5 linked regions of the Ovis aries genome follow. The protein of the gene in region 1 interacts with the protein of each later gene in a biochemical or structural test. Links are inferred from orthologs where the notes say so. Each region holds a gene or a part of one and is shown in the gene's direction. Other genes may lie near its edges.

What was found.
Region 2: the proteins of SPI1 (region 1) and IRF1 form a complex in vitro, tested with the Homo sapiens proteins (2 studies listed by BioGRID). The link is inferred for Ovis aries from reciprocal best matches to the Homo sapiens genes SPI1 and IRF1.
Region 3: the proteins of SPI1 (region 1) and IRF8 form a complex in vitro, tested with the Homo sapiens proteins (3 studies listed by BioGRID). The link is inferred for Ovis aries from reciprocal best matches to the Homo sapiens genes SPI1 and IRF8.
Region 4: the proteins of SPI1 (region 1) and MECP2 form a complex in vitro, tested with the Homo sapiens proteins (2 studies listed by BioGRID). The link is inferred for Ovis aries from reciprocal best matches to the Homo sapiens genes SPI1 and MECP2.
Region 5: the proteins of SPI1 (region 1) and IRF4 are reported together in a solved structure, tested with the Homo sapiens proteins (2 studies listed by BioGRID, with this or other methods). The link is inferred for Ovis aries from reciprocal best matches to the Homo sapiens genes SPI1 and IRF4.

Annotation. Positions count from the first base shown.
Region 1 is NC_056068.1:76,140,063-76,145,990, reverse strand, and holds the start of SPI1 (transcription factor PU.1), read left to right. Parts: upstream 1-1,983; 5' UTR 1,984-2,180; coding exon 2,181-2,225; intron 2,226-3,829; exon of another isoform or gene 3,830-3,844; coding exon of another isoform or gene 3,845-3,865; intron 3,866-4,570; coding exon 4,571-4,670; intron 4,671-5,928. UniProt on the Homo sapiens protein: Pioneer transcription factor, which controls hematopoietic cell fate by decompacting stem cell heterochromatin and allowing other transcription factors to enter otherwise inaccessible genomic sites.
Region 2 is NC_056058.1:19,726,200-19,731,995, forward strand, and holds the start of IRF1 (interferon regulatory factor 1), read left to right. Parts: upstream 1-2,338; 5' UTR 2,339-2,561; intron 2,562-3,578; 5' UTR 3,579-3,583; coding exon 3,584-3,670; intron 3,671-4,959; coding exon 4,960-5,059; intron 5,060-5,796. Other genes in the region: uncharacterized protein LOC114114850, read left to right, coding at 975-1,152. UniProt on the Homo sapiens protein: Transcriptional regulator which displays a remarkable functional diversity in the regulation of cellular responses.
Region 3 is NC_056067.1:11,356,774-11,362,602, forward strand, and holds the start of IRF8 (interferon regulatory factor 8), read left to right. Parts: upstream 1-1,878; 5' UTR 1,879-1,939; intron 1,940-5,829. UniProt on the Homo sapiens protein: Transcription factor that specifically binds to the upstream regulatory region of type I interferon (IFN) and IFN-inducible MHC class I genes (the interferon consensus sequence (ICS)). Can both act as a transcriptional activator or repressor.
Region 4 is NC_056080.1:80,217,083-80,222,873, forward strand, and holds the start of MECP2 (methyl-CpG-binding protein 2), read left to right. Parts: upstream 1-1,914; 5' UTR 1,915-1,947; coding exon 1,948-2,009; intron 2,010-5,791. UniProt on the Homo sapiens protein: Chromosomal protein that binds to methylated DNA. It can bind specifically to a single methyl-CpG pair. It is not influenced by sequences flanking the methyl-CpGs.
Region 5 is NC_056073.1:51,017,222-51,023,307, forward strand, and holds the start of IRF4 (interferon regulatory factor 4), read left to right. Parts: upstream 1-2,225; 5' UTR 2,226-2,285; intron 2,286-3,455; 5' UTR 3,456-3,515; coding exon 3,516-3,731; intron 3,732-4,713; coding exon 4,714-4,900; intron 4,901-5,670; coding exon 5,671-5,759; intron 5,760-6,086. UniProt on the Homo sapiens protein: Transcriptional activator. Binds to the interferon-stimulated response element (ISRE) of the MHC class I promoter. Binds the immunoglobulin lambda light chain enhancer, together with PU.1.

The DNA of each region.
Region 1 (5,928 bases):
CTGGGCCTGTGAGCTCTTGGAGGTCCGGGGCATGCCTCCTTCACGTTCACGTCCCCTCGCCTGGCCCAGCACACGGGAGACCTTCAGTAAAGCGTCAGTGATTAAATGAACGAAAGAGGAGATAAAGAAGCATATAAGCCAAACAAGCGAAGAATGAATGAATGAACACATCGAGCAGGACGTGGCTCTCGTGCAGCAGAGCCCAGCCTCACAGCCGTGCAGTCAGTGGGGACAGGCCTTCTTGATGAGAAAGTGGGGTCAGGGATGGCACAGATGCCAAGTCAGCCCGCCTCTCCCCTCTTCTTGGGGAGGGGCCTTGGTCAGGTTCCTAGGGTGTCCTGAGGACCAGCGACCTGGACTCCTTGGAAAGTCCCACAGATGGAGGCAAAACAGTGAAGATGTAGACGGGAGGAGTCTCATGGTGAATCCAGGCCTGCCATCCCCTGGCCTTCGCCGCAAGTGAAGAAGCACTCGGGTATCTGTGGTCCACTGACAGGAAGGACGCAGTGTTAGTGCGAATGGGACTCAGAGCAAGGGTAAGACTACGCAGGAGAGGAGAGTGAGCTCTCAGTGAGCTGGAGAAGTGGGCTTACTAGAGACCAAAGATTTAAAAATGGCCTCTGTTCATCCTTCTGCCCTTCAGACTAGATCAGGAACTCCCTGAAGACAGGAGTCTTGTCCAGGACCTTTCTCTTTTCCCAGGACTGAGCATAAACCCTGTGTGTGTTAGTCACTCAGTCGTGTCTGACTCTTTGCAACCCCATGGACTATAGCCTGCCACTCACCTGTGTCCATGGGATTTCCCAGGCAAGAGAACTGGAGTGGGTTGCCATTTCCTTCTCCAGGGGATCTTCCCAACCCAGGGCTTGAACCCAGGTCTCCCACATTGCAGGCAGACGCTTTACCGTCTGAGCCATATCGTATGGGCATGAAGCCTAGAACTCAGCTGATATGGTGGAATGCATACATGGATGGATGGCTAGATGAATGGACGGACCAATGAATGATCAGACTGACAGCTGGACACGCGATGGACACACAGCTGGAAACGTGGATGAGTAACAAGTGGATGGGCTGATAAATGGACGTATGATGGCTCAGTGGATGAGAAGACAAACAGATGGGTGGATGGATCGTAGACTGACAGATAAATGGGGGAATGAAGAGCTGGATTAAACTGAGAGACAAGTGAACGGCTGGCTTGACGGGTGGATAGAGGGACTGAGAAAACAGATGAGTAAATGGATGGAAAACAGATGAACGGATGGACAGACAAGAAAAGTTTGTAAACTAGGAAGACTCGATTGACAGTCAGGCATTGGTAAGGGGTGGGGAGACTGAAAAATCTGGGCTGGGAACAGAGATATGGAAGGCATGGTGACCCTTAGGAAGCTGGGAGGGGAGGGTGTAAGAATCCTTCTGGTGGAAATGAAGCTGGTGGAAGGAAGGAGAAATCAGCACGATGCTGATGACCAGGCCCCAGGGCCCAGCCCCAGGCTTGGTAGGACCGAGCGGTTGGGAGCCTATGGGCCCAGGAAGAGCCAGGCCTGGCAGTTAGCCGGACCAGAGCCCTAGGCCAACCAGGCTGACCCCAGAGCGTGGAGGCCCCAAGAGGACACCCTTACCAGCTCCGATCCCCCAAGGAAGTGACTGTTGGCCACATGGAGGGGGGCTCTCAAAAGTAGTAGGCATCTGCGGGGTTTCGGGGTGAGAGAGCCTCCACAGGCCCCGGGGGGCAGCAAGGCCCTCCTCGTGGTGGTGCAGCCAGCCTTCCGCCCTCCCGTTCTCCCACCCTACCCCAGCCCTCAAGGCCGCCCCTCACAGTCCCGGCTTCCCCCTCAGCCTCCCAGGCCAGCCCCTGGAGCACCACCTGCCCCAGCCGGCCAGAGACTTCCTGTAGCGCAAGAGATTTATGCAAACGGGCCGGGGCAGTGATGTCACCCCAAGGGGACTATCTCCCAGCGGCAGGCCTTCGATAAAATCAGGAACTTGCGCTGGCCCTGCAATGTCAAGGGAGGGGGCTCACCCAGGGCTCCTGTAGCTCAAGGGGCAGGCCTGAGCCCTGCACCCGCCCCGAAGCGGTCCAGCCCCCCCCACCCCCGACGGGGCGCCCCATCCCCAGGGGCTCCGCACTGGCCCCCACCGAGGCAGGGGACCTGACCGGCTCGGAGCTCGGCTGGATGTTACAGGCGTGCAAAATGGAAGGGTTTCCCCTCGTTCCCCCTGTGAGTATCGGGACTCCTCCACCAGCCCAGCCCGCGGCCCTCGGACGCCCGCCACCTGCCCGCCAGCCCGCCGCCTGCCTTCCCCTATCAGTGGGAAGTTGGTGTTTCCTCCCTGGAGCCCCAGGGCCTGAGACCCAAGCAAGAGGGCCATCGGCCTCCTTGGAGCAAGCACACCCCGGCGGGCTGAGGGCCGGGCCCACGGTGGGGCTGTGATCGATGGGGCCTGAACGGTTATTTATAGATGGGGCTTGGGTGGCAGCCGGGGTTCCACGGGCCTGGGGGGGCTGGGCTGAGGGTGGTGAGGGCAGCGGGGAGCTGGTGGTGGAGGAGCGGGAAGGCTGGCGTGGAGGGAAGCCGGTCCCCGGGACAGTGAAGGGCTGGAGGGCAGGAGGCAAGAGGCCGAAGGTCCGGGCCCTGGACTGGGTGCTCCTCGAGACCGTGGCTGCCTTACACCTGGGTCCTTGCCACCCAGGCACAGAGGACGTGCCTGTTGACCCGAGAGGTCTGGGCCTTGGGCCCCGAGTGGCGGAGGCAGAGGCGGGGGCTGGGGCAGCAAGGGGAGCAGGGGCTGGCCAGGCAGCTGGGGCTGGGACTGCGGAGAGGAGGGCAGAGCCTTCCCGGGGCTGAGACTGGGGCTGGGGGAGGACCTCGTCCAAGGAGAGACGGGAGTGAGGGCAGCGGCTGAGGCCGGAGGTGAAGAAGCGGGCGTCCCAGGGGACTCCAGGGATGGCAGGGCGGCCGTCTGGGGCAGACCCCCTCCGCTCCCGCTCTCAGTGACAGTTGCAGCCTCCGGCAGGTGTCACACCACCAGGCCCCTCTGAGAGGACCCCTCTCCCTTTCCTCACCCCCTTCCGCACTCAGCCGGGGATGGGGAGCCCTGGGGGTAACTGGGAAGGGCTTGGCCGGGCCTGCCCATCTGACTCAGCTTTCCCGGCTTGGAGGCAGCTCCCTTCCCCCTATCCCCGGCCACCCCACCCCAGGCAGGCCCAGAGCCCCAGGGAGGCACCCCAGCCTGACACCCTTCTGTGGGGCTGTGCTGTCTGCAGACCCAGAGCCAGGCTCCACGCAGGGCCGGGCACAGATGGGACAAGCCAGCCGGCTTCTGACCTGGCCCTGGCCCCCCCACCCCCACCTGGAACCTAGAAGATGGGGGAGACAGGCAGAGGGTGATAGGGGGTGGTCTCAGGAAGAGCCCACTCTGCCTCAAGACAGCCAGAGGCCTCGGGGCCCGGCCACCCTGTCTCTGACCCTTGACCTCTCAATGCCTGAACCCCAGCTAAAGCTGAGTGGGAGACATGTCCTCCTGGGCTCCATGCGAGCCTCCTGAGCCCCTTGGCCCAGTCCAGGGGGGACGCAGAGTGGGTCCTGTGAAGGTGGGCTCCCAAGGCAGCTCTGGCCCCCAAACCAAGCCCCGAGGGCCGGGGTGACAGTTGTGCAATCCTTGGGCACACGCGCGGGGGTGGGGAGAGGCCTGGTGACTGTCGGGAAGCCTCTGGGTGTGCATATCCCAGTGCCTGGCCAGGGAGTGGGGTGGGGAGGGACAGGGATGGGGAGACGGAGGGAGGGGGACCAGGGAGTGTCTCTGGAGGAAAGGGGAGGAGGGAGAGGCCCCCAAAGCCATGGCCTTAGCCCTGCGTGGGGTGAGTCCTTTAAAGCCCATCAGTGTGGACAGCCAGTGTGGGGGTGGGGGCCCTGAGCCGGCCTGGGACCTGGACATCGGGCAGCGAGAGAGCCTGGGGGCCTGGGGGACTATGGCAGGAGGACAAGCCTGTGTGCTGGGCGATGGGCGTGCAGGAACATGAGTGACCGAGCAAGGACATGGGCGTGAGTGTGTGTCAGCGCGCTTGGAGGTGAGGGAGTGGATTCGCATGTCAACCCCAGGGACTCTGCAAGCGCCTACAGGCAAGTGTATACTGGCGTGTGTGCCTGGGGTGAGTGTGAGGGCTGTGAGTGGACGTGTGAGCTCACATTGGGAGTGTGGGAAGAAATGTGTCAGGGGGAGTTTGTGTGCATTTGGGGGGTGGTTTAGGCACGTCGATGTGCCTGTGAGCGGGCGAGTGTGTGAGGCTGGGACCTGGGCATGCCGTGGAGCGTGAGTGTGAGGTGGCCGGGGGAGCTGTCCCCTCAGACCTGTCTTCTTTTGACCTCTGACCCTCCAAGGTCTCTGTCACCCCCTTTCCGCCGGAGCCAAGGCTCTTGCACCCCTGGGTCCCCCCGCTTGCGCCCTGCGTGGCCTCTCCCAGTTGATAAAGGGGCTCAGTGTGGACCCAACATCCTGGGGTGTCCTGCCAACCTGCCTGGGGTCTCCCCGCCGCACTCCGAGTTCTGACCCCCTCCTCTCTCAGCAGCCATCGGAAGACCTAGTTCCCTATGACACGGATCTCTACCAACGCCAAACGCACGAATATTACCCCTATCTCAGCAGTGATGGAGAAAGCCACAGCGGTGAGTAGCAGGCCCCGCCCTGCCCTGACTTCCCCAGCCTGGCCTGGCCCCGGCGGGCGCCACCGCTGCGTTCTGGGGAAGGAAAAGCATACCCTTCCCGAGGCTTCTTTGGAATTCCGAGGATCGGATCCAGTTAGCTCTCAGGGACATGAATTCCCTACCCTAAAACCCCACGCTCCTGCTCCCCACCAACACCCCATACCCCCAGCGTGCGTTTCTGGAGCAGCCTTGGTGTGCAGGCACGGGCGAGCTTCTTCCCTGTTTTATCTTCTCATCCAATCCTTTCGGCCTGTTTCCACCTGACGAAAAAGGCGGAGAGGCTACGGGACTTGTACAAGGAGGCGCACTGGCCGCGGGGGCCCAGCTCTGCCCGCTCCAGGCCCAGCGCTTTCTCTTTTTTTTCGGCTTCACTTAGTCGCTCATTCACGTCCAGCTCTTGGGGCCCCATGGAACAGTAGTCCTCTGTGCACCTCTGTCCTGTGGCTTCCCCAGGCGAGAATACTGGAGTGGGTTGCCATTTCCTCCTCCAAGGGATCTTCCCAACCCAGGGATTGAACCCTTGTCTTCTTCTCCTCCCTCAACCCCCCATCTTCTTCTCCATTCTTGTCACTGCCCGTGACCCTGAACCCCTCATTGGTGCAGCCCCAGTCGCCACTGCGTGTGACTAACAGCAGTCTATTGACATTTGGGCTGGATACTTCTATGCTGTGAGCTCTGTCTTGTGCCTTGTAGGGTATTTGCCAGCATTCCTGCTTCTGCCCACTGGACGCCAGTGTTACTGCCAATCATGATAACCAAAAATGTCTCCAGAGTTGCCAAATATCCCCTGGTGGTGGGGGCGGGGTGCAGAACCGCTCCCATTTGAGAGCTGTTCATTCAGCAGGGGCTGAAACCTTGTCTGCTGGAGGTGGGGGTGAGGATGGGGCCTGGGCCAGGGCTTTTTTCTATCTGGGTCTAACTGCCCCCCACCCCAAAGCCCAGGCTCAATCCTGAAGCAAATTCAGGGAAAGGGAGAGAGACCTTCAGTGTCTGGAACCTGGGCAGGGAGCTAAGAGAGGTCACCGGTGGTAGATCTCAGTGTATTGATGGAATATCTCTGAACAATAGGCGAGGTGGCCTGGTTACTGGGTCTTCACTGAGGGATTCTTCAGGGGGTGTGGAGGCCTGGGCAAGCCAGACAGCGGGGTGTCTGCAACCCCACAGGGACAGGCGTGCTCTGCCATAGCCAAGGAAGGGCCTCACCTGGGGGCCGTTAACA
Region 2 (5,796 bases), on another chromosome or scaffold:
GAGATGCTTAAACAGAGGTTAGCTTTTATTTCACTGATTGGAGTATAGCACCCCCAATCATAATAAGCATCAAGAGTATGAAAGAATCCCCAAAGTTAAAAGTTAAAAAAAAAGGCAAAGATCACTTCAAAAATGTAAAATGACAATTTCACTGGTAAATACTAACACTGGGGAATTTCTCCTTAGCAAAAAAATGATTGGTGTGCGCAAAGATTTAGCTACACAGTGCTGTCTGTATTATGAAAAAATGGAAATAACCTAAATGTCCTACAATAGGGGATTAATTGGGTAAATTTTTATTTATCCTTATGGAAGAATAATATATACCCATTACAAATGATGTTGCAGAAGTACGTTTCATGACACAGAAAGACGCTCATTATAGATGTATACCTACAGATGATTATCTATGAATTCAAATTTTTATTTTAAAGCACACTTTACTCTCTCCTGTTGCCTTCCCAAGGTCAATTTCTCAGACCACATGAAATGCAAACTTCGCTTCCCTAATCTCACTCTGCATTTTCCAGCAGCTGTGTCAGTTTCCTAGGGGTAGGACAAGCACTCATTTGCTGCACAGAAAACAGACTTAGCAACTCAGAAGCCACTTGTTTTCTCTTCTTGCTCGAAAGGTCTTGGTTTCTGTAGTGCATTCCCACTCCCTTCTGTCATTTAAGGCACCCCAACCCTTCTCCCCCTTCCAGGGTTTCAGCACCTTCCATTTGCTTAACACCCAGGTAGTCTCATTCCTCACAGTTTCTCCTGCCTCTCTGCCTCTCAGCTCCCTCACCCATCAGTATCTGGGAGACAGCTCTGACCCATTCCTATTGGTTTCCTGGGAACCAAGTGTGGCCTTAGTCACAGCATCAGATTCTGGTGTACCAGAATTGGATTAACCCATCTATTTCGTCTGTGGGAGGAAAGCTATAGCGTGACTGACAGGTGGAATGGTGCATCCATGTGTCTGTTTCCAGCCTGCAGCACTGCAACTGGGTGCTGCTATGGAGGGAGAGCTGGGATGACAGGAATGACACAGCCAACCTGACCTGGAAGAGAGATTTACTTCTGAGTCAGCAACTTTGGGGAGATGAAGAAAGAAGCCTGCTGGCCAGAGCTCTGGAGAGAAAAATGAAGATTCAGCCCGGCCTCTAGGTGTACAAGTAGGGCAAGGTCTAGTTGTAAGCACAGGAGTTCGATAGCTATCATTCCCAAAGCACCTGGGACCTGGGCTCCCCAACCCTTTAGCTAGACCCATGGCCTTGATCAAGGTAAGCAAATACCCCACTTGCCCAGAATCTCTCTGGACCAAGCCCTGAGGCCCCAGAAACTAAACCAGTGCTGCCAGGGAAGGCTCTCCTGCAAGGACCAAGTGAGGCTGTGGAGGTGGCCTAAGGCAGGAGTGCTAGGAGGAACCAAGGCTACCCCACCCCCACCCCAACTCAGCAGTCCTGGCTTCTCTGAAACCCTTCTCTCTTTCCCTAAGGCCAGCAGCGGGGCAGTCCCAAGAATGTAGATGGAGAAGCGGAAGAGGTCTGTCCCTGGTCACAGACTCTAGCAGGGGCCTCGAAAACCACGCATCATCTGCTGCCCAAGTAGGGCCTGATGTTTCAGACTTCATCTCTCTGTCACGGGAAAGCAGCAAAGTAGGGCTATTGTTTTGGAGTTGAGGAAACTACAGCTGCCAAACAGGGATTTCTTCTCGTCTTGGCAGCCCCACGCAGGGTAGGATTTCCTTTACTTCCCCGGGGAAGGTGAAGCCCCCGGAGGTGGGCCACCCCTCGAAGGTTTGAAGGCCGAAACGCTCCCTGCTTGACACCCATTAACGGGCTTGAGGAAGCGGGTTGGTTTTCAAGGACTCAATGCTCGCGTCCACTCTGAAGAGGACGGCAGGTGCCGGGGTGACCCCCTCACCGGGGCTGGGAAGACAAGGGATCCCGGGGCATCCCCAGGAAAGAAGAGCAAGGAGACGGCCTCAGGAGCGAGCAGGCTGGGTGAGCGCCGAGTGAGGGGAGCAACTGCGGGCCGGGGGCGTTCGACTTTCCAGGAGCGCTGGTGCGCTGGTATGGGGGTGGAGTGGGAGCCGGCGGGGCGGGCCCGCGGTCGCCCCGGGGCGGCGGCGCCAGGCCGGAGGGGGTGGGGAGGGGCAGCCGCCCTGTACTTCCCCTTCGCCGCTAGCTCTACAACAGCCTGATTTCCCCGAAATGATGAGGCGGCGCTGGCCAATGGGCGTCCGCTCGGCTCTGTAGGAGGCGGGGCCCGGCCCGGGCTGGGGGAATCCCGCTAAGTGTTTAGATTCTCCGCGGCGCCGCGGTTCAGGCAGAGCGCGCCACTCCTTCGTCGAGGCAGGACGTGCGCCCAAGTCTGGCAAGCAGAGGCCAGCGAGAGCCGTGCCAAGTCAAGGCCAGCCGTGCCAAGTCAAGGCCAGCCGTGCCCAGCGGCTCCGCGACCCGGGCATCCTCTGCCTTCTCCCCGTTCCCACTGGAATCGCGCTCCTAGCGCCGGCAAAAGCAGTCCTCGCCGGGACCCTCGGTTGCTGCCGTCGGGGAGCGCCTGCCGTCGAGGTGAGCGCGCCTTCGCCGCAGGGGGCACCGGTGGCTTCGGACAAAGGCGCTCTCGGGGCACCAGGAAGTGGGGGACTAAAACCCTTGCCGGGAGAGTGACGGGTGCGCGGCGTTGCCGGGGCCCCCGCGCGGGCTCGGAGGGCGCCCGAGGAGCCGCAAGCAGCTGCGCGGGGAGGGCGGGCAGCGGCGTGGACCGCCCACCCCGCCGAGGTTGTCCGTGCCAGAGCCGCTGGCGGCCTCTGGGTGGCCCTGTGTGTTGGTTGCGCGCATCCAAGGGCTGTGCGGGGGATTCGACTGTATATCAAAGCATGGGCGCCCTTTGCTCCCTGCGCCCGCTTTTCGGCGGTTCCAGCTCAGGCCCAGCCCCCAGGTTTCGGGCTGTCTCTGCAGGTGGCGGAGGCTGGGGCCGGCTGCGCTGGGTGGTTGGAGGACCTCCCGGAACCGCGGGAAGAGGCGCCACAGGTGTTCTTTGGGCCACTTTGCCCAAGGAGGGCAACCAGGCCCAAAGGGTTAGCGTACCGGCCTTGGCACTGTGGCTGTCAGGCAGGCAAGGGATAGATTGGGGGGGGGGGTTGGTGACGAGGATGCAGGGTGACTGTCCATTAGCGAAGGTGCACGGCTAGTGACAACAACTCAAACAGGGAAATTTCTTGGCATCAAGCAAAAGAAGCCCCTCTCTTCCCAAACAATTTGAATTTGGGGAGTAAAGTTCTAGTATTTAGATATCTGTGTGTTTTGTCTCTTTTCCTTAACATAATCTTCAAAGTATCACTTAGCATGTCTGTCCTCTCCCAAGACTGTCTAGGAGGGGCTGAGGGAGGGAGTGTGTTGCTTAAGATGCTGAAAAGATTTGGAGGGAGGTTTTATTAGAGAGAAAGTCCCCTTCTGCATGATTGTAGTACTTGGTATCTAGATGAGGGCAGGGGAGGGTAACTGAATGACTTGGGGTGGGGCTGGGTAGTGGCCAGGGACTGCTCAACAGACTCCTAACAGGAGCCTTCTGTCTTCTCTTCACAGCCAACATGCCTATCACTCGGATGCGCATGAGACCCTGGCTAGAGATGCAGATTAATTCCAACCAAATCCCAGGGCTGATCTGGATTAATAAAGTGAGTGTTACTCTTTGGATTTTTCTGCCACTGTTTTAACCTATGTTCTTCGGGGGTCCAACGCTTCAGATGCAGTTCAAAAAGGGAAGTGATAAGGAGTAGGTAGATGTATTTCCCAGTGGATCCTGCAGGGAGTGTATAAGACACAGCCTAGGCAGGGCCCCACTGGCTGCCTTCTGCCCACCTCACTTCTTGAGGTATGCATGGGGCATCGACCTCGGGCCACTTAACAGTTTTCCAGCAGCAAGATTCTCCCAGCATCTGCAGAGCCAGAGTTCTGGCCTGTACTGAGGGAGACCTCTACAGGCACACACAGCCTTCTAGAGGGCTCCGCTTGGGCAGATAGGAGACAGAGAAGTGGGCACTGCTGGCAGGAAGAGGTGGCTGCCCCAGCAGGTGAGCCAAGAATTAACCTTGCACCAGTTGTCCAGACCCAAGAGGCCTCTTGCTGCTGCAAAAAGAACAGACCCGGAAGGCTTAGTAGTACTAATAACAGCTAATGCTTACTCTGCTCACTTACTAGGAGTGAGCATGGCACCATGTTAAGTATGTTACTTACATTGTGTCATTTAATCCTCAAAGTCGCCATGCGAGGAAGATTTTACTAATATCTCCATTTTCAGATGAGGAAACAGGCACTGAGAGGTAGATAATGAGATCACACAAAAAGCGATGGAGCCAAGATTTGAACCTGAGCAACTCAACTCAAAAATCCATACTGTTAACCAGCAGTAATGATAACAGTGGGACCTTAGCTTTTATATTTGTTACTGCGGTATTGTTTTTTTCCCCCCATGTCATGGAAACCAGTGAGGGATACAGAGGTACAGTGTCAATGCCAGGGTCACACAGGTAGTCACCATCCAAGTCTGGTCCTGGGCTCCTGCAGGTATATGACCAGAACTCCCTTTGTAGGAGCCAGTGTTCACAGTTGTTCTGAGAAGCCCCATATAATGGACCGAGTTCTCACTTCCATGTTGGTGCTGACAAGCCAGAGAGAAGCATCCAGGGGTCCTCTGTATGGGTCCTAGCACATCTGTAATGAGCAGAAGGAGGTCTTTGCTGACCTGATGATGCCATAGCTCATCAGAACCCAGAGCCTCTTCTGAGAGATCCAGAGGGATGGACCAGTCTGTTTAGGCCATTGTTGGGATGGGTCAACCCCAGCCAGATGTCAGGGTGAAAAAGGGAAGTCAGTCTTTTCCCAGACCTCGAGGGCTGGGCAGACTAAGGCCAAAAACCTGTGGTCTCTGAGCTGACACAGCTTTGTGTGTACGTGTGCTGTATAGGAGGAGATGATCTTCCAGATCCCATGGAAGCACGCTGCGAAGCATGGCTGGGACATCAACAAGGACGCCTGTCTGTTTCGGAGCTGGGCCATTCACACAGGTGAGTGTGCTGGACTCTAGCTTAAGAGGAGCTGGAAAGAGAGAAAGGGAGGCACTTCTGTTAACACAGAGGATCTTCACTGGGGTCTCTGAGTTCCCTGAGATGTACATAATTCATGGTGGGCAGGGAGCAGGCCTGTGTTTTGAGGGGAGAGGTTCATCATTTCAGCAAGTTCACAAAGGAATTTATAAAGCCAAAATCTTAAAAAGTATGGCTTCATGGAATTTGTGGCTGAATTAAAGTTCTCCCTGGCAAAAGCAGAGGCAAGCATTGACACTGAAAAAGATCCAGGCCTTCCTTTTTCTTGATGTTGACTAATGGTCCTGGGCCCATCTGGTTGGCAGCCTCCTTTTATCCTTCAAGGATGGGGCTCTTGGCCCATCTCGGACCACTCAGTCCCCCTATCAGTAAATATTCTTTGTTGCCTACTCTGTGTCCTCTCCCGTGTTTGGAACGATCAGATAAGCACCAGTCCCTTCTTTCTGGCTGCTGACAGCCAAAGAGAGACTGCCTTGATCTGTGACAAAGGTGGCACTTTGGGCTTGGGCTCTCTAGTGCTTCTGGGTAGGGCTTTCCCAGAGGCTTGCTGGGTGTATCAGATGCCCACGTCTGGGCGTTTGAGAAGCCCAGGGCCTGCACCAGTGTCAGCCAGGAATACCTGCTGGTTTGATCACTGTGGACCTCTGGCAGCATGCAGGCTTTAGGGATACCCTTGTCTTTGTCCTTCTGAGCCAGGG
Region 3 (5,829 bases), on another chromosome or scaffold:
TTAAAGAGATTATTGTTTCTCTTTTAAATTGCCTTGGCACTTTTCTACCTTTAACTGGTAGAAAATCAGTTGGCCACTTCTAACTGGATCTATTTCTTCTAAGTGGATGTAGGCTCTGTTCTGTTCTGATTTTTCCAGAAAAAGTAAGATTAAAGCACAGTACCTCTCGTGAAAGCCTATTCATACTTTATCCAATAGCATTTTTATTATAATATTTCCATTGCCTGTGAAGAATATAGTCTATTTTTTTGTGCAAGTTTGTAGTATGCTCTGGTCAAAAGCATTTTTAGCTGGACGCAATTTAAATACTGTAACTCATGTTACAGTGGGAACAATGGTCACTATGGTCTAATGCCTTTTGAGGATGAGATGTACACCTTATACCTGAAATATACACCTTCCCCTCCTCCTGCATTTTTTTAAACCATACACAACTCCCAGGTTGGTGAGTGTTCAAGAGAAGCCCTGCCTCACACCTAGGAGGTCCCCATCTCACCACACCTTGGTGATGTTTCCCAGTTTCGAAGACCGTCTTAAACCTTTGCTGCTTATTCAAATGTCAGACATAAGACTACCAAGGCAAACTTCTGTTCTCTTGCTCAGTAATTAATAGGCAAGGTCATCAGTTGTAGACAAGTAAGTGTTAGATAATACGGGTGTTCCCACATTCCCATCTGGTGGTGCTGGACACTCACCATGCAGGGTGAGAGGGGGAAGAAAGATGAAAAAGTACTTAGAAATTCCTCTCCACTGTAAGCCACGTGTTTGTGTCTGTCCTCATCATCTGCACAGAAACGCACGGCCACTCCCGTATGGTGCCCTGCTTTCATTTAGGACACGTTTGCTCATATACGATGTCTCTAAGGCTTCTTACTCTCTTGCGTTTCAAACTCTGAAAGTGAAAGTGAAAGCTGCTCAGTCGCATCTGACTCTTTGTGACCCCTGGAACTCTCCAGGCCAGAATACTGGAGTCAAGCCTTTCCCTTCTCCAGGGCGGCTTCCCAATCCAGGGATCAAACCCAGGTCTCCCCCATTGAAGGTGGATTCTTTCAAACCCTAGTCGGAAGGAACACCTGGGTGTGTTGGGGAGTTGATGCCTTGATTTTGTAGTAAGGTACTTAAAAAACTACCTACCATATGTCAGTGTTATCATTCATGAAAGAAAGGATATTTGAGCTGCCAGTGATGAAGACTGCCTCGGACTGGCATTGTTCCTGTACCAGAATCTGAGAACTGCCATTCAGACCCCTGGGAAGGACACAGGGCCAGAATCAGTCTCAGGATGTCAAGGGTGTTCGAGAGGGGATTCCTGAAGCGGGGGAATTATGTTAGGTCAGCCATCCGGTCCTTTCCAACACAAAGAGCGGATGACCTCATGATCTGGAAAAACCTGGGATTGCTTCTCAGTTGTCTCGCTCTGACAGCCCAGCCCTCATCCCAGGTGCCTCGCTTCCCCTAGGAAACAGATACGTGAACTCGGGGCTGAACGTATCCTTGGAAATTCAGTTTGTTCTCTTTACAAAGGGGAGTTGTTTGTGTCACCCAGACAGCCGGTGGCCAGGGCAGAGACAGCTCTGTCAGGCTTTCCAGTCTCTAGATTGGCCGGTCCAGCCTGACGGCTCAGCCACGCCAGCTGCCCTCTTCCTCTCCAGCTCTGTTGCCCTCTGGGTGCCTCCACGCCCAGTTCCTTCCCCTCCTGTCATCTCACCGTGGTCCCTAGAGGAGCTGTCTCTCTCTGTTTTCTGTGCTCCACTCTTTTACCCCCGTTTCTGATGGGGAGGTGGCAGTGTGCACACATGCCCGTCTGGGGCTAGGAGTCTGCGTGCAGAATCCAGGAAGTGCTTTCAGCCTCTGAAATGACACTTCCTATGTTCCGACAACAATGGAGTGCCAGTCACACAGGATGAGCACACACGGCGGACGGCGGCTGGCTGGGGTGGTAAGGGAGCAACAGTCTGCCTTCTTCCTTTAAATCTTCCAATATTGCCGAGTCATTAGTTTTTAATGGATGGAACATTGTGAGAAATAGAGATGTGTATATAGGCTCCACTCTTTTGTCTTTGAGTTTAGAAAAATGATGCCTGAGCCCAAGAGGCTGGAGAGCTGCTTGGCCTCCTTGTGGGTGGAACTTAGAAAATAAAAGTGGAATTACTTGACATTGTTTTCAAAGCGTTAGTCATCACAGTGAGAAAAGGGAAGTCAGGCATAGACATGGTGGCCAAGAGCAGCCAATGTTTGTGGGTGATGCAAGCATAAGTGTCATCATATTAATTAATGACTGAAATTAATACCAACTAGGAGGTCAGTTGAGGCGGCCAGTTATAGAATAGCTATTCAGAAACCTATATTTTCCTTTTAAGCCCATAATGATCATTTAGAGATTGTAAGGTAAAAAAATGATTTCATTCACAGTAACAACAAAATGCATTAAAAACCTAGGAAAATTGTCACAAAAATGCGTAGGATCCAAAGTGAAAAAGACTGAAGACTCTGTTAAAGAGTGTAAAAGGCGATCCAGATGTTCTTGGATAGAAAGACCTACTCTTGAAAATATGTCTGTTTCTCATGAATTAGCTGTAATTCAGTACAGTTCAAAGCAAATTATGTGTGAGCTTAAAAAAAAAAAACCCCACAATTAATCTAAAGTTTATCTGTAAGAATGCAGCTGGGAGGATGGCTAGAAAATAGAAGTGTGTGTGTGTGTGTGTGTGTGTGTGTGTGTGTGTGTGTCTAGCTTCTATAAGATGTATTTAAAAGTTTTCATATACTAAGTTTCAGGCTTCCCAGGTGGCGCTAGTGGTAAAGAACCCACCAGCCAGTGCAGGAGATGCAGGAGACCTGGGCTGGGAAGATGCCCTGGAGGCGGGCATGGAGAATCCCAGGGACAGAGGAACCTAGGGGGCCTCAGTCCATAGAATCACACAGAGTCAGACATGCCTGAAGCGACTTGGCACACACGCACGCATGTAGTGAGTTTCACTTTTTTTGAGATACAAGTCTGTATGTTTTCATAACTATGTGAGGCTCTGCAGCCACACCAGACCAGGAGACAGTGCGCCCCCGCCACCCCCTCCGATCTTCAGGCTGCCCCTTTGTAGTCTGAACTCCCCCTCTGTCCCTAATCCAAGGCAACCATGGACCTCTGGTTGGACAACCCACTCTAACATTCTTGCCTGGGAAATTCCATGGACAGACGAGCCTGGCAGACTTCTGTCCATGGGGTCGCAAAAGAGTCTGACACAACTTAGCAACTAAACAACATTCTGTCAAGTGGAAATGTACGGTGTACTATACCACTACGTGGAAACACATCACAATGTCATTATCTATTCATCCACTGAAGGATTTCCATATCTTTGTTTTTGAGAAATTATGAGCAAAGCCAAAGCTGTAAGTTTTGTGTACTGATTTTTGGAATGACATGTTTTCAGTTCTGTAGGGAGAGGGTGGACTTGCTTGAATTTATTCCTGAATTTAGGGGGAAAGCATTCAGTTTTTTAAATAGTAAGTATAATGTTAGCTGTCGGGATTCTGTAAATGTCCTCTATCAGGTTAGAGAAGTTTCCCTGTATTCTTAATTTGCTGTTTTTTTTTTTTTTTTTATGTCATGAGTGGATGTTAAATTTAATCAAATGCATTTTGCGTATCTATCCAGATACTGAGGTGGTTTTTATTCTTTAATCTGCTAATTGCTTGATTTTCTCATGTTGATCCAGCCTAGAATTCCAGGCTAGATTCTACTTGGCGTTGATGTGTGTTTTTCTCATGAATGGCTGCGATTTGCTAATATTTCGATGAGGACTTTAGTGCCTATATTCATGAGGGATATTGGGCTATCGTTTACCTTTCTTGTGTATTATTCCTCTGGTTTGGGCTGCACAGAATGAGATGGGAATTTTCCCATCTTTTATTTTTCTGGAAAAGACTGTAGAATTTGTATTATTCCTTTATTGAATGTTTGGAAAAGGGCTTGGGATTTCTTTCTTGGAAGATTATTTTTAACTCGATTTCTTTCAATACAGGACTAGTTAGAATATCTACTTCTTGAGTGAGTTTTGATAGTCTGCATTCTTGAAGGAAATTGGTCAAGTCCATCCAAGTTGTCAAATTGCTTACAGAGTTGTTTATAGCATTGCTTTGCTCTTTGTCTAACATCACTGAGATAACATGGTATTCCTTATTTTGGTGATGTTTGTCTTTCCTCTTTTTTTCTTGGGCAGTCTGGCTAGAGGTTTCTCAATTTTCTTGATCTTTTCAAAGAAACAACTTCTGGTTTTATTGATTTTATCTTCTGTTTTTCTTTTTTAATTTAATTCACACTTGTTCCTGTCTTTATTTTTTCCTCTCATTTTGCTTGGTTGGGTTTAATTTGTTCTTCTCCTTTTTCCTCATTTCTTAGGCTTAGATTACTTATTTGAAAACTACCTTCTTTTATAATATAAGCATCTGACTGTCTCTATTCTTTCCTCTAAGCACTGCTTTACTGGCATCCTGCAGATTTTGATATTTTGTATTTTCATTTTTATTCCATTCCAAACATTTTATAATTTCCCTTGTGACTTACTTTTTGACCCAGGGATTATTTAGGTGTGTGTTTAATTTCCACATATTTTTTCTGTGGGGAGGGTTCTAAGCATTTTTTTTTTGTCATTAATTTGTAGTTTAATTCTACTGTGGTCAGAGAACCTCCTTTGTGTGATTTCAGTTATTCTAAATTTGTTAAGGTTTGTTGTGTGGCTGAGGCCATGGTCCATCTTTAGAGTTTTCTTTTGCTGGATGGGCTGTTCTGTAAGTGTTGGTTAGGTTAAGTTGTTTACTATGCTGTTCAGCTCTTTTATAGTCCTGACTCCAAGTATAATTTATTTATTTTTGTTGTGCCACACTGCTTTTGGGATCTTAGTTCCCCAACCAGGGATCGGCGAACCTGGGCTCTGGCAGGGAGAATGCCAAGTCCTAACCAGTGGACTGCCAGGGAATTCCCTAAAGTATAGTTTTAGAATCTGACTATTTCTCCTTTCATTTCAATTTATTTTTTCACTTATTTTGATTCTGTGTTGCTAGGTGCCTACACATTTAGATTGTTTCATCTTCTTGGTGAATTTTATCATCATATATTCTGAAGATAGATATATATACTTTAACATGGAATGATCTATACAGTGTTTCTCTGAGAAAATAAATATAATGATTCTATTTATGTAAATTTTATCTGTTTATCATCATCACTCTATCATCTATCCATTATCTATCTATCCACCCACCTATCAATCATTTGTCTAGCCTACTAATCTATCCAACTAATGCCTACCTCCAACCCTTAGACCAGCTAGGGATTTGGAACAATGTTATCCAAATGTTGATGGTGTTTATATTGAGTGATTTAACTTGGGGGAATTTTAATTTTTTTCCTATGCTTTTCTACAGTGTGGAAATTTCCTAGAAGTATCTTTATAAAAAAAATAAAACCATTTTAGTAGGGGATTGCCCTAAGTGAGATCCACAGTGAAGAACAGGGAAGCAAAAGAACTGGAAAGTGAAAACAAGCAGTTTACAGACTCACATGGAAATTGATCTTTATATTCTCTTTCAACTCCTCAAAAATTTTTCACATATTTTAAAAAATATTTTTACATCCAAAATATGTATTTATATCCAGTGTTTTTCTCCTACTCAAGATCAAGAAAATAGCGATTTCATTTTTTTCCCCACCGTGCTGCATTCCCTGGCTAGCTACTGGTTCAGCATTTCAGAATTGGAAAGTGTTCATTCTCAAAAGGTTAACATCTATCAGTTGAAGATTACATCTGACCTGTTTTCCTGTTGCTGAAG
Region 4 (5,791 bases), on another chromosome or scaffold:
ATTTATCAAAGTAAATTGGGTGTGGTCAAACAGGAGATGGCAAGTGTGAATATCAACATTTTAGGAATCAGTGAACTGAAATGGACCAGAATGGGTGAAGTTAATTCAGTTGACCATTATATCTACTACTGTGGGCAAGAATCCCTTAAAAGGAATGGAGCAGCCCTCACAGTCAACAAAAGAGTTAGAAATGCAATCTCAAAAACAACATAATGATCTCTGTTTGCTTCCAAGGCAAACCACTCAACATCACAGTAATCCAAGTCTGTTCCCCAACCACTAATGCTGAAGAAGCTGAAGTCAATTGGTTCTATGATCTACAAGACCTTCTAAAACTAATATCAGAGAAAGATGTCCTTTTCATCATAGGGGATTGGGATGCAAAAGTAGGTCAAGAGATACATGGAGTAACAGGCAATTTTCACCTTGGAGTACAAAATGAAGCAGGGCAAAGGCTAACTGAGTTTTGCCAGGAGAAGACACTGGTCATAGATAACCCTATGGGGGAACAAAATGAGAGCAAAAGCCGGTGGACATCTAAATAGCACCCCTTTCACTGTTGCTTTATCTACCTCAAATTCTTATCACTATGTGACATTTTATTTTATACTTTTTGTATGTTCACTCTGAATCTTCCCCTACAAGAATGTTAAGTACTTATTCAGTACTCTGCATCCAGAGCCTGGAACAGTGCCTGGTACATAACAGGGATTTAATAAATGAATGGGGGTGGGGTAGGGAATCACATCAGAATCAGACGGTTCCTTCTTAACTGAAGAAGTAGCAAAAAGAGCATTGGATGGATTGGATGATAGCTGGAATCAGAGTAAAGTCGCCTTGACAGACAGTACTATCCTGAACACTCCATTAGCTAAAGTGAAGTGAAATGAGTCACTCAGTCGTGTCTGACTCTTTGAGACCCCATCTAGGCCAGAATACTTGGAGTGGGGTAGCCTTTCCCTTCTCCAGGGGATCTTTTCAACCCCAGGATGCAACCCAGGTCTCCCGCCTTGCAGGTGGATATTAACCAGCTGAGCCACAAGGGAAGCCCTCACTAGCTAAAACTTTTTCCATACTCTTAAATATTTTTCTATACCAGCATTATTGGATCTTAAGTCCCAAATCACCTCTTCCGGGCCGAGCGCTTATTTCTTTGTGTTTCCACTGCCCCCTCTTCCCACTCACCCCAAACCATCTCATCCAACCATGACAGGTTTCGTGCAAGCCTTGGCATGCACCCTCTTGCCCCACCAGAGCTGCAAGAAGGTGAAGGCTACAATTCGTTGTTCAGTTATTTCCCTGCCCCTCTGAGAGTGTGGCATACGGTAGGCTCAAATGAAAGAATGCCTTCGGTAGGCCTCGTAAACCCAAGGTTCTTGTCTGGAACAATGTCAGGCAACTTTGCTGCTTCTACTGAATGTGGTGATACTGAGAAAATGCGGGTGTTGCGGGAGGCTTATAGCAATGTACTTTGTGTGTTTGCGGACAGCAGGTCAAGGGCCCGGGATGGTCGCGCAAACAGGCGTCCGGAACCTAGGCCTTCCCTTGCCCCAGCATCCGCAAAGGCCTATTAATCCTTAATATTCAAATTCCGCCCACTAAACCATCCCCTCGGCGCCCAAGCCGCCTCTTTTCCCCAAATGACGGCCGTTGGCAGCCAATCGGCAGCTAGACGGGGCGTCCGCCCCCTTTTCCCTCGCCGGAACGGACACCGAGTCCCGCCAATTGGGGGCGTCGCCACCGAGGCCCCGCCCCACCCCGGCCAACACATCCAATGGCGCGCCAGCTCGCTGAAGCATCGGGGGCGGGGCGCAGGCGCGCAGGTGCAGCTGTGCGCAAGCCGGTCGGGAGGGCGGGGCGCGACGTCGGCCGTGCGGGGTCTCGGCGTCGGCGGCGCGCGCGCTCCCTCCTCTCAGAGAGAGGGCTGTGGTAAAAGCCGTCCGGAAAATGGCCGCCGCCGCCGCTGCCGCGCCGAGCGGAGGAGGAGGAGGAGGCGAGGAGGAGAGACTGTGAGTGGGACCGCCGCGGCCGCGGGCGGGGACCCTTGCTGGGGGGCGGGGGGTAGGGGCGGGACGTGGCGCGGGAGGGGCCCGCGGGGTCGGGCGACACGGCTGGCGGATGGCGTCCCTCCTCTCTACCCTCCCCCTCCCGCTGGTGACGGCACCCCCCCCCCCGCGGCGGCCCGTTACCCGCACTTGCGGGTGACCGTCTTCGGCGCGGCCTCCTCAGGCTGCCTTTGCCTGCTTCCCCCCACCCTCCCGCCTTCGGCGCGCATCCCGGCCCCCCGGCCCCGCGGGCACCCCTGTCGCCGGGGCTTCGCCTGTCGGGGCTGCGCGCGCGTCGTGCCCTTCGCGGGGCTTCGGGCCCGCGGCGCCGTCGCGCGCCCGCGCCCCCGGCCTCTCCCTGGCTCGCGCTTTCCCGTCTCCCTCCCTCGCGCGCCCCTCTCCCGTTACTCGGCCCCCCCCACTGGCGCGCGTGCGCAGTTCTCCTCCCGTCGGGAGAGTGCGCCACAAGGGCTCCTGGGCAGTCGCCCCCATCTCCAGGCTTTGCCTCCCCCTCCTTCTCGCCCATTCCATGACTTTCTGCCCCCCCACCGTCCCCGCCGCGAGCGAGTTCCTTTCGCATCTAGCAAGAACAAGTAGGTGGGAATTATTGTCCACCCACAAAAGGCACTAGACATTGTGTTCTTGGCCCCAGAGCTCATCAGAAAGAGGCGGTGATAGTTGCCATCAGGAGCCGTGGGGAGGGGACGGGGTGTCCGGCAGCACCCGTAGCGCTTCGATGGGAGCACGCTCCCAGGGCGTTTGCGGGGGGGGGGGGCATGGCCTCAGAATACGAGCGCCCTCCCATCCTTCCCCCCCGCCCGCCCCGCTTCGCCGGCGATCTTCCAGTTACATAAGTGGAGTGGGACTCAGTCTGTGACGGGCTTCCATAGTCCCGGAGCGCGCCCGGCTCAAGATCACCAGTACCAGATGGGGCAAGTTCACCGCATCGCCGGGGTGCCCATCGCTTGGTCCCTGAAAGTTTATTTTCTTTCTAGTTTGCTTCTGAGTCACCCATACTGAAACTCAGGTGACTGATTAGTGGTGTGGCAATGTTTTTTGTGGTTTTGCACTGAAGACTTAAGGTCATGGTGAAGAGTTTAAAAGATTGCTTTCACAGAGGAGACCGTTCATGGCCTTGCTAAGTGTGGATTCCAAGGGCGGGGAAGGCTGGCTGTGGAATACACCTCTGTGGCCGTCGCTTCTACTGTGAGTGTGTTCGGTGTGGATTGGTCACAGCCGAAATGGGCTCCACCACAAAATTGATATTCCTGACTCATGGTCAGGCAGATGTGTGCTTCTCGTTTTTCAGGAACAGGAACGGGCTGCAAAGCCATTCAGAGTTGTGTCTCTGTTGTGCCGATCAGTGCCCCAAATTGTGAGATGGTAGCATAGAATTCTGTGGGTGGTTGGTGATCACAGAACCGAACCTACTGGCCTGTGAGGCTGAGTGGCTTAAGACTTGAGGACTCTGGCAAATTTTAGGCATTTTGTTACATTACAAAAATGAAGCATATATCGGCCTTGGTAGCAAAAATCATTATTAACAGGCAGTTGCTATCCAGGAGAAATTTGGGTTCCACCGTCAGAATTTTCATCTGCATCTGAACGATTTCAACTAAGAATGCCATTAACCTCTTGGGTCCTTTGAAATATGCTGAATCTTTATGTTTTTTTAAAATCTGGTTTTTAGTTTTAGGTCTTTTGGGAATTTCCACTAGGGATTTAGGGAAATAGATTTATTTATGGGCTTTGAAGGACTTCTAAATCCTAGTCCTGGAACCTAGGAAAAAATTTGCTTTCATTTTTTACCCGGACGTATCAGAACCTTAAAGGGCACAATCAGTCACAGAGGTGTAGAGTTGATTGAATAAGTTGCCACAGAACACCCATTCGTGGCATGTCAGCGAGGGGGCTGATCACTGAGGTGCATTCCTGTCTGCACACACAGATACACAAGCCTCACTTAACGAAGATTCCAAGGTTTGTACATCTGAGCCTCAGATGTGACCGGCAAGGGCTCTGTTTCGTTTCCCATCATTGTCAGTGCGTTAGCCGCCTCGGGTGCCCTTCCAGTGAGCTGTTCCATCATACCCCTATCCCACAGCCTCCAGAATATAGTTTGTCTGCAAAGTACCTGGTGGCATCTGAAGTCATGGTGTCCTAACAGCTTGAGGAAACTCTCTATGGCTTTCTTGCCAGTACACACCATACTCATTTGCCTGGAATACAAATTTGCCTGGAATGCTTGCAACCTAGAATCCCAGGTCTTTGTTTCACCTGACAGAGCATGATGCAGTCCAACCATACTCCAACTTTTGTGCTGCTTATGTTGCAAGAGGGTTCGAGTACTGTTTTGCATTTTATTTGCGATTTCCAGCCACAGCCCTTGTTTGCTGGCTGGCCCTGCCTCTTTGTGGCTGAATCTAGTGGGATGGGGAGGCACGCTGTGAAATTTGACAGAAGAATTGGCTAGAGGAGTCCAATATGATGATATCTTCCTCCTGAATACCCCTTCCCCCAAGTGGAGACGGAATGAGAACCTTGCTTCTTGAACCTAGAATAAAGAAGAGCCGATGGAAAAGTGTTAGTTCCTTCCTGGAGGGCGGTTTCCACTGTTAATATACCTGCCCGGGATTATTTACATGATAAATGATGTCTCCTGGAACCCGTGATCTTTTGTAAAGGTGAATATCAGTGAAAATCTTTTAACTGGCTAAGAGCAGTTTGTGGCCAGCTTGCCCGAGTTATCTATGAGAAGAATATTATAGAAAGGATTTGACTTTTGCAGTAACTAGTGTTTCAAGCACAGAGGGGGTAAAACATAGTCCTAGACTGGTGGTTCCAGGGAGCGTGGCAGACACCTGTTTGTTTTCCCCACCCTTTGTTGGTGATGCGCACGCAGACCAGCCTTGTGTGGCTGGCAGACAACCATTTTTTCTTGGGTAGAGCATTATTACTGCTCCAGTTGGAGGACCTTGTTCTCAGTGCTTCTGTACCAGTGCCTTCCAGTGAAACTGTCATTGTCACCACTGTGCCTTTACCTCAGTTTGGGTAGGATGGATGTAAAGTCTCTTTTCCTTGGACTCACTGACACAAAAGTTGTGCTCTTCTGCATTTACCTGGTCTCTTCTGCCTTTCTTTGGCATGGAGCCCCTTCCTGTTGAAAGCTTGCTTTGTACACCTTTGCTTAAAATATTTGGTTCTACCTCTTTGATGGTAGGTATGGTGTCGGGGGGGGGGGGAACAGAGTGAGAGCAGGGCATGGCCACTCCCATATTTAAGAGGCGTTGTGACCATTCTGTTAGAGTAAAGCCTTGGCCTTTTTCACTTCTTCAAGGCACAGTTAACGTTGGTTCTGCTGGTGTGTGAATGTCTTGAGCATAGCTGTTTTGTTATACTGCAGAAGTCTGGACTCTCGGGATCAAGCCTTAGAAAGGCTTCGGTGCGTAAGAGCTGGGGGCACTCTATATACATATATATAGACCTGCAATTCACTGCTGTATTGGGTCTTCACCTAAGTGCTCTCATTTGCTGGCTCTTTTTTTTTCTCCACGAAATCTTGAGTTATCAGAGATCTTAAATTCAGAGCTCGAAGGAACCTTAGTTTAGGTCCCTCAGTTTACAAATAAAAATGCAATTTACCAAGGGAAAAAAAAAGGCAACTGTGAAAAGTTGTGGCTCTTCTAGGGCCTCCCGGCCAGGATGCCGGTTTGATTTTTATTATATAGCTAATTGAGTAATAGCTC
Region 5 (6,086 bases), on another chromosome or scaffold:
TTTCTAAATTACTGAATTTAGGTAAATTCAACTTTTCTTATGGTTTCTTTATGATAAATGTGAAGCGAAAATCGAGCTCCTGCGGCCCCATCTACAACAGCATACAAGTGGCTGAAGTACACACCCCCTCACAGAGCACGCCGATGGGCTGTTTAGGATACACGTCCGACCAGCTGATCTTTACAGGCTGCGCCACTTGGAGGGGCGTCTAGTCTTCTCTGAGGGGCACTCTGATCTCAGGCGTGTGGGGGAGGGCCAGTCTGAACCTTCTCTCCCTTCTGTTTCAGCCGTGACTAAGACAGGGAAGTCTGCAGTGAGCAGCTAACTGGTGAGGCCAAGCCCTCCCTCCCCACCTCCTGGGGCAGTGAGGACTTCAAGAGTTCAGTGATTAAAACACACGATTCTCTGTATCCACCTCATCATAACAGAAAATACCACTTCTGGTAGATCAATACGACAAATGAGTAAGCCAGAAGATGGCGTTGAAGGTTTGCAATCACATTTTAAAACAAGGCCGACGTGGTTTTCAGCGTCTGAAAGTGCATGAGGGGAGCGGTGAGATAACCAAGTCGCGGCAGAGGACACGTGTGCGAAAGCGCAGAAAGCTCTAGTTGGCGGGGTTTGTTCTCTGCAATCGTCCTGTTGCTGGTGAGCACGCTGGAGAAAGCAATCCACTGGTTAGAGCGCAAGGCAGCTGGGAGGCGGCCATGTCCACTTTGTTGGCTGAGGTATCCAAGTGCTGAGCTCAGTTCCTGACAGTCAGAGGGGCCCCCAAAATATCTGTTGAATGAATGAATCCATGAAAGAAGAAAGGAAGGAAAACCGCCGTGACCAGAATTTTCTTTGAAAAATACCTGCTGTTTACTACACAGACTCTGATAGTGGAAAACTTACTTGAGTGAATAAAAGCATAGCATCCTGTTAATTTCTGAGAAAGCCGTTAGTTTGAGGAAAAGCTCACCCACTCTGTGCCTCACGGCTGTTTTGCTCTAGGCTGGCTTGGTTGTTTTTTTGGATGGGAGACAGTGGCCCAATATTTAAAAGAAAAACTGAGAAATAAGAGAAATCAAAAGTTTTTCAAAAGTAGCGAGTTGACCTAGGGTGGTGGTGGCCTAAAATCATACAGAAACCAGTGATCTGACGGTTTACCTGAAATTGGTGTCTACACAAACATGCTGAAGCATTCGAGATGCTGGGGGGGGGGGGGGCGTTAGATCTTGGAACATTAAGTAAAATCCCTTTGTTTAAATATTGTTCTTATTCTGGCCATTTAAGCTCCCACTTGTAAATTGTTTCTCCCACGTTGAGGTTAAAACTATGCCACTGAGAGGTGGACCTGGACACTTCTTCCAGTTCTTCCCTGCTGCCACAGCTAAAGCTGTGGGGGTGCTGTCTCAGTTACTGAAGTCCTCCAGTTGAGCCGACCAGCAGGATGAGAGCATTTCAAGCCCAGACAGCGTGTGAGCGCAGTTTATAGCTCAAGGTATCTGGGCCATTTCCTTTTTTCTTTTCAATGAGTGTGATGTTCTCTAAACACGGCGGAGGGGCGGGGCTCTCGGTGACAGCCAAGGGTGCCCCCCACCCACCCACGGTCGGTCGACACGGACAGTCCTGTCTTTGGTTACGAGCTCTGCAAGCCCAGTCCCCATCGCACCAGATTCCCGCTCCTGCACGCCCCCACTTCCCGCCCTGACAGCGCCGCTGTAGCTGAGCTCCTGCTCAGCGGTCCCGCCGCGGAGACGAGGTCCCCTCGCGCCTTGCCCTCGGCAGGAAACCGCCCGAGTGAGGCTCCCCCGGCCCGTGCGCCCGACTCGAGGTGCGTCCCCAGCGCCGCCTGGCCCCGCGCCCTCGGCTCTCGGTCCGCAGCCCACTACCCCACCCCGCGCACCCGGCTCCCTGCCCAGAGCCCCCAGACCAGCCCCGCGCGCCCAGCTGGGAGCCGGCGCCCCGCCAGCCCGGGTTCCGACCCGGCCCCGCGCCCCGCGCTCTGCGTCCGCAGCCCCTAGCCCAGCTCCGGCCCCGCGCCCCCGGCCCTCCGTCCGCAGACCCCGCCGCACCCCGCGCGCCCGGCCCCCTGCCCGGAACCCCCGGGCCAGCCCCGCGCGCCCGGCCCGCGCCCGCGGCCCCCGCCCCGCCGGGAGGCGCCCCGGTCGGCCCCGCCCCGCGTAGGCCCCGCCCCGAGCGCGGCTTTCAAGCTTTATAAAGTTCCTCTTTCCTACCTCCGAGGTTAGTTTCGCTGCTTGGACTTGGGACTCACCGCTGCCCTCAGCTCAAGCCGGGGCGAGGTAAGACTGGGGTCGGGAAGGACGCGGGCTGCCAGCCCGCTACCGCAGGAGCCCGGCGCGAGGCCAGCCGGGTGGGGGCCGCCTCGGGGCAGCGCGGGCCGCCGCGGCGTCGGCGCCAGGCGAGAGCACGCCCCTCGAGGGACCCCGACGCCCACCCCGTCTGCCCTTGGCCGGGGAGTCCCGCGGCCCCGGCGTCCGCGGGTCGGCCGAGCCCGGGCCCCGGAGGCCACGCGCGGGGCCGGCTGTGGTAACGAGGTCGCTGGGCCATCAGCGCCCGAGGGGGTCGTCGAAGGGACCCACCCCGGGCGGCAGCCCTGACCGCGGGGACGGCCCCTTCCTCCCGAGGCTGCTTCTCTTGCTCCTCGCTCTTGAGGGGCTCACAGCCCCCTCGGCCCCGAGCCCGCGTCTTCCCGACCGGTGGTGGAAGAGGAGGCGCTCCAAGTTCAGGCCACGAGGGGCCCCGCGCTCCGCGACCCCCGCCTTCCCGGCACCTTCCCGCCCCCGCGCTCCCCGCGGGCCTCCCCGCCCGGCTGATGCTCGGCGCGCGGGGATCCCCCACGACGAGGCTGCGCTCGCCGCCTGAGGCCGGGTCCCTCTGCCGCGTGTGGCTCCCGGGCCACCTGGTCGTCGCTACCTGTCTGGGGCTCCGGGGCATTCTTGGGGCAAAGAGTGCGGGTTTCAGAGAGAGCCGCGGGGGAGCTGCCGCCGCCGCGCACCTGGAAGGCCAGGCCACGGGGGAGCCCGCGTGCGGAACACGCGGGGCCACCGGGGCGCGGGGGCGCGGGCGGGGGCGCGGGCGGAAACTGGCCGTGGCACGGGGGATGGACTGTCCACGGCTTGGGCCTGGGCAGGGGAGCGGGAGTACGAGAGCAAACGGAGGCCCACGCGTGGGGGCGGCTGGATTTCGGGGGTGCGCGAAGATCAGAGCCCTGAGTCTGGGCGGCGTGCGGGCCGCGGGGGGAAACGCGAGTGGAGCGTCCAGAAGGTGAGGTCGCGCACGAGCTCAGGGAGGCGGGAGGGCGGCGCGCCAGGGGCACGCACGAGCCGGGGCGGCTGAGAAGGGCCTTCTCTCGCGGCTCGGGCGTCACAGACTCGGCGGCGCGCGCCTCGCCGCCTCCGAGGCTCTGCGGCCTCGTGGTCATTGCCGAGGGCCGCCTCCTCTCCCCGCAGCGCGGAGCGAGTGCCGGAGCGAAGCCTGGGTTGCGAAGGGACAGCGTCGGCGCGCGGGGCATGAACCTGGAGGGCGGCAGCCGAGGCGGCGAGTTCGGCATGAGCTCCGTGAGCTGCGGCAACGGGAAGCTCCGCCAGTGGCTCATCGACCAGATCGACAGCGGCAAGTACCCGGGGCTGGTGTGGGAGAACGAGGAGAAGAGCATCTTCCGCATCCCCTGGAAGCACGCGGGCAAGCAGGACTACAACCGCGAGGAGGACGCCGCGCTCTTCAAGGTGCCCGGGCGGGGCTGGGAGGGGCCAGGGCCCGCGCGCCGACCCGCCCCGGGCTCCGGGGGCCGGTCCGCGCCGCGCGCACCGGGCCTGGTGCGGGAGCGCGGGGGTCCCGCGGCTGCTCTGGTAACTTCGCAGAGGGCGGAGCCGGTGCCACGCCTGAGGGGCGCACGGTCCCCCGGAGTCAGATGCCCGTCCGCGCTCCCGCCGGGTAGAGGGGTGGGCCAAGGCTGCGCCTCTCTCTCCCTGGGGCCCTCTTTCTGGAACTTTGGGTACCTCCTCGCCTCCACGTACCGACTGTGTCTCCTCCTTGCGCGCGGGCAGCTGTGTGCGCCGCGCCGCTCGGGGCTGGTCCCTGCGCCCTCTCCACGCTGTCCCGCCTCACGCCCCCTCTCTGGCCAGCGCTCTCCTTCGGGCTCTCTCTGGTCCTTGGGCGCGTCTCTCCCTCTGTCTCACTGTCTCTGTGTGACTCCCTCTTCCCGAGTCTCTCCCTGGAAAGTTTTCTCCGTCTCTCTCCCTTCCTCTTTCTCCTCTCTCTCCCTCTCAGGGTCTCCTTTGGGCCTCTCTCTGGGGGTTTCTCTTTGCCCCGTGTGTGTGTCCCTGTCCTGACCGTTTTCCCCTTGGGCAGTTTACCCAGTGGCCAGTGCTTTAGGGCCCAGCCCCACCACCTGTGGGCAGAGCGTGGCAGGGGGACTTCCTCAGGAAACTTGCTGGAAGAGTAAGGCTTGCCTCAGGCTCCCTAACGTCCAGAGGTGCCCTGCGGTGGCCCCTCAGCCCTCAGCTCTGTCTTTGCTTCCAGCCTAACTGCTTCCTGAGGGGTGGGCTTTGTGGGGTCCTCAATCTCACCCGTCTTTCATAAACACCCTCTGTCCCACCTTCCTGTGGACCTGAAGCCCCTGCCGCCATTCTTTGCTTTAGAGATACAATTTCCAGATTCTTTTTTGAAAGACCTGCATTTTAACTTTTCCCCACTTTTTCTCACCAGGCTTGGGCACTGTTTAAAGGGAAGTTTCGAGAAGGCATCGACAAGCCAGACCCTCCCACCTGGAAGACACGCCTGCGGTGTGCTCTGAACAAGAGCAACGACTTCGAGGAGCTGGTGGAGCGGAGCCAGCTGGACATCTCGGACCCCTACAAAGTGTACCGGATCGTCCCCGAGGGAGCCAAGAAAGGTGGGGCTTGCCGGGCTGGGGCCACCTGCGCTCGCGCCTCAAGACGGCTCCCTGTCAGGGTCCTGTTTTCCCTTTGCTGCTTTGTAGCCGGCTCGCCTTGGCCTCCCGGTCCAGCCTAGCGGGCGGGTTTCCCAGCTTCTCTGGGCCCCAAGGGGGAGTTCTCGCGGTGGTGCTGCCGGGTGGTCTCAGGCTCCTGGTCTCTTCCTGTGTGTGCATACGCCTGCGTTTTCTAGGAAGTTCTCCTGAGATTCGGGCCCGATTTCCAAGCCAAGAACGGAAAAGCTGTTTGAAACTTTACTTATTCATCTGTCTCTCGTGATTAGCCATTTTGAGGAAGGGAAGGTTCATGATCTACATTTCGTTACCATTTGTAGTAAGAGAAGTGTCAACATTCAAACTTTGCCGTGGTCAACTGGGCTGCTTATTGAAACTAAGGTTCCCACTTTCCAAGATTCTGGACCCAGAGCAAAGCCCAGTTTAACAAACCACAGGTGACCTCACTAGATGGACGTCTGCTGGGGGAGCTCGTGCCACGAGGCCCATCGCCCTCAGGCTTCTCGACTTGGGCTCGCTTTGTGGCGCCTTGTAGGAACCAGTTTAATGGCCTGGACAAACAATTGCCCAAGGGAGTTGCAGGAAAATGCCCTATTTGTCAACACTGTGCTATGCATTCTAGGAACTGGACTCTCAGGTGTTTTTCTAAGATTTGACGTTTCATGCTGTCAGTTCCTTCTTCACACCGCGCATTTCCCTTTTCCCCAAACCCTCAGGAGCAAAGCAGCTGACCATGGAGGACCCGCAGATGCAGATGAGCCACCCGTACAGCATGCCGACCCCGTACGCCTCGCTGCCTGCCCAGGTGCGGGAGGGGCAGGGCTCCGAGCAGGGAAGGCTGGGCCTGTGAGGGGCGCTTGGGCCAGGTCCCACGTGGCGGGAGCGGCCTGCAAACAGAAGCGAGCAGAACTCCGTTTTGCTGTTTGTCAAACTGCTGAGCCACGTCCCAGGTCACTGGATGGGTGTGTCAGTCTCCACCTGGTGCTGGGGTTTGAAGAGAGGGAGACGAGGGTGGGTGTATCTGCTTGCTGGTTAGATTTCCCCACTGACTCTTCAATCTTCTGGGAAACAGACCTTTTGTGGAAGCCAAAGATTTTGGAAGCAGGGCTTTGTCATGTGAAACCACAGGGCA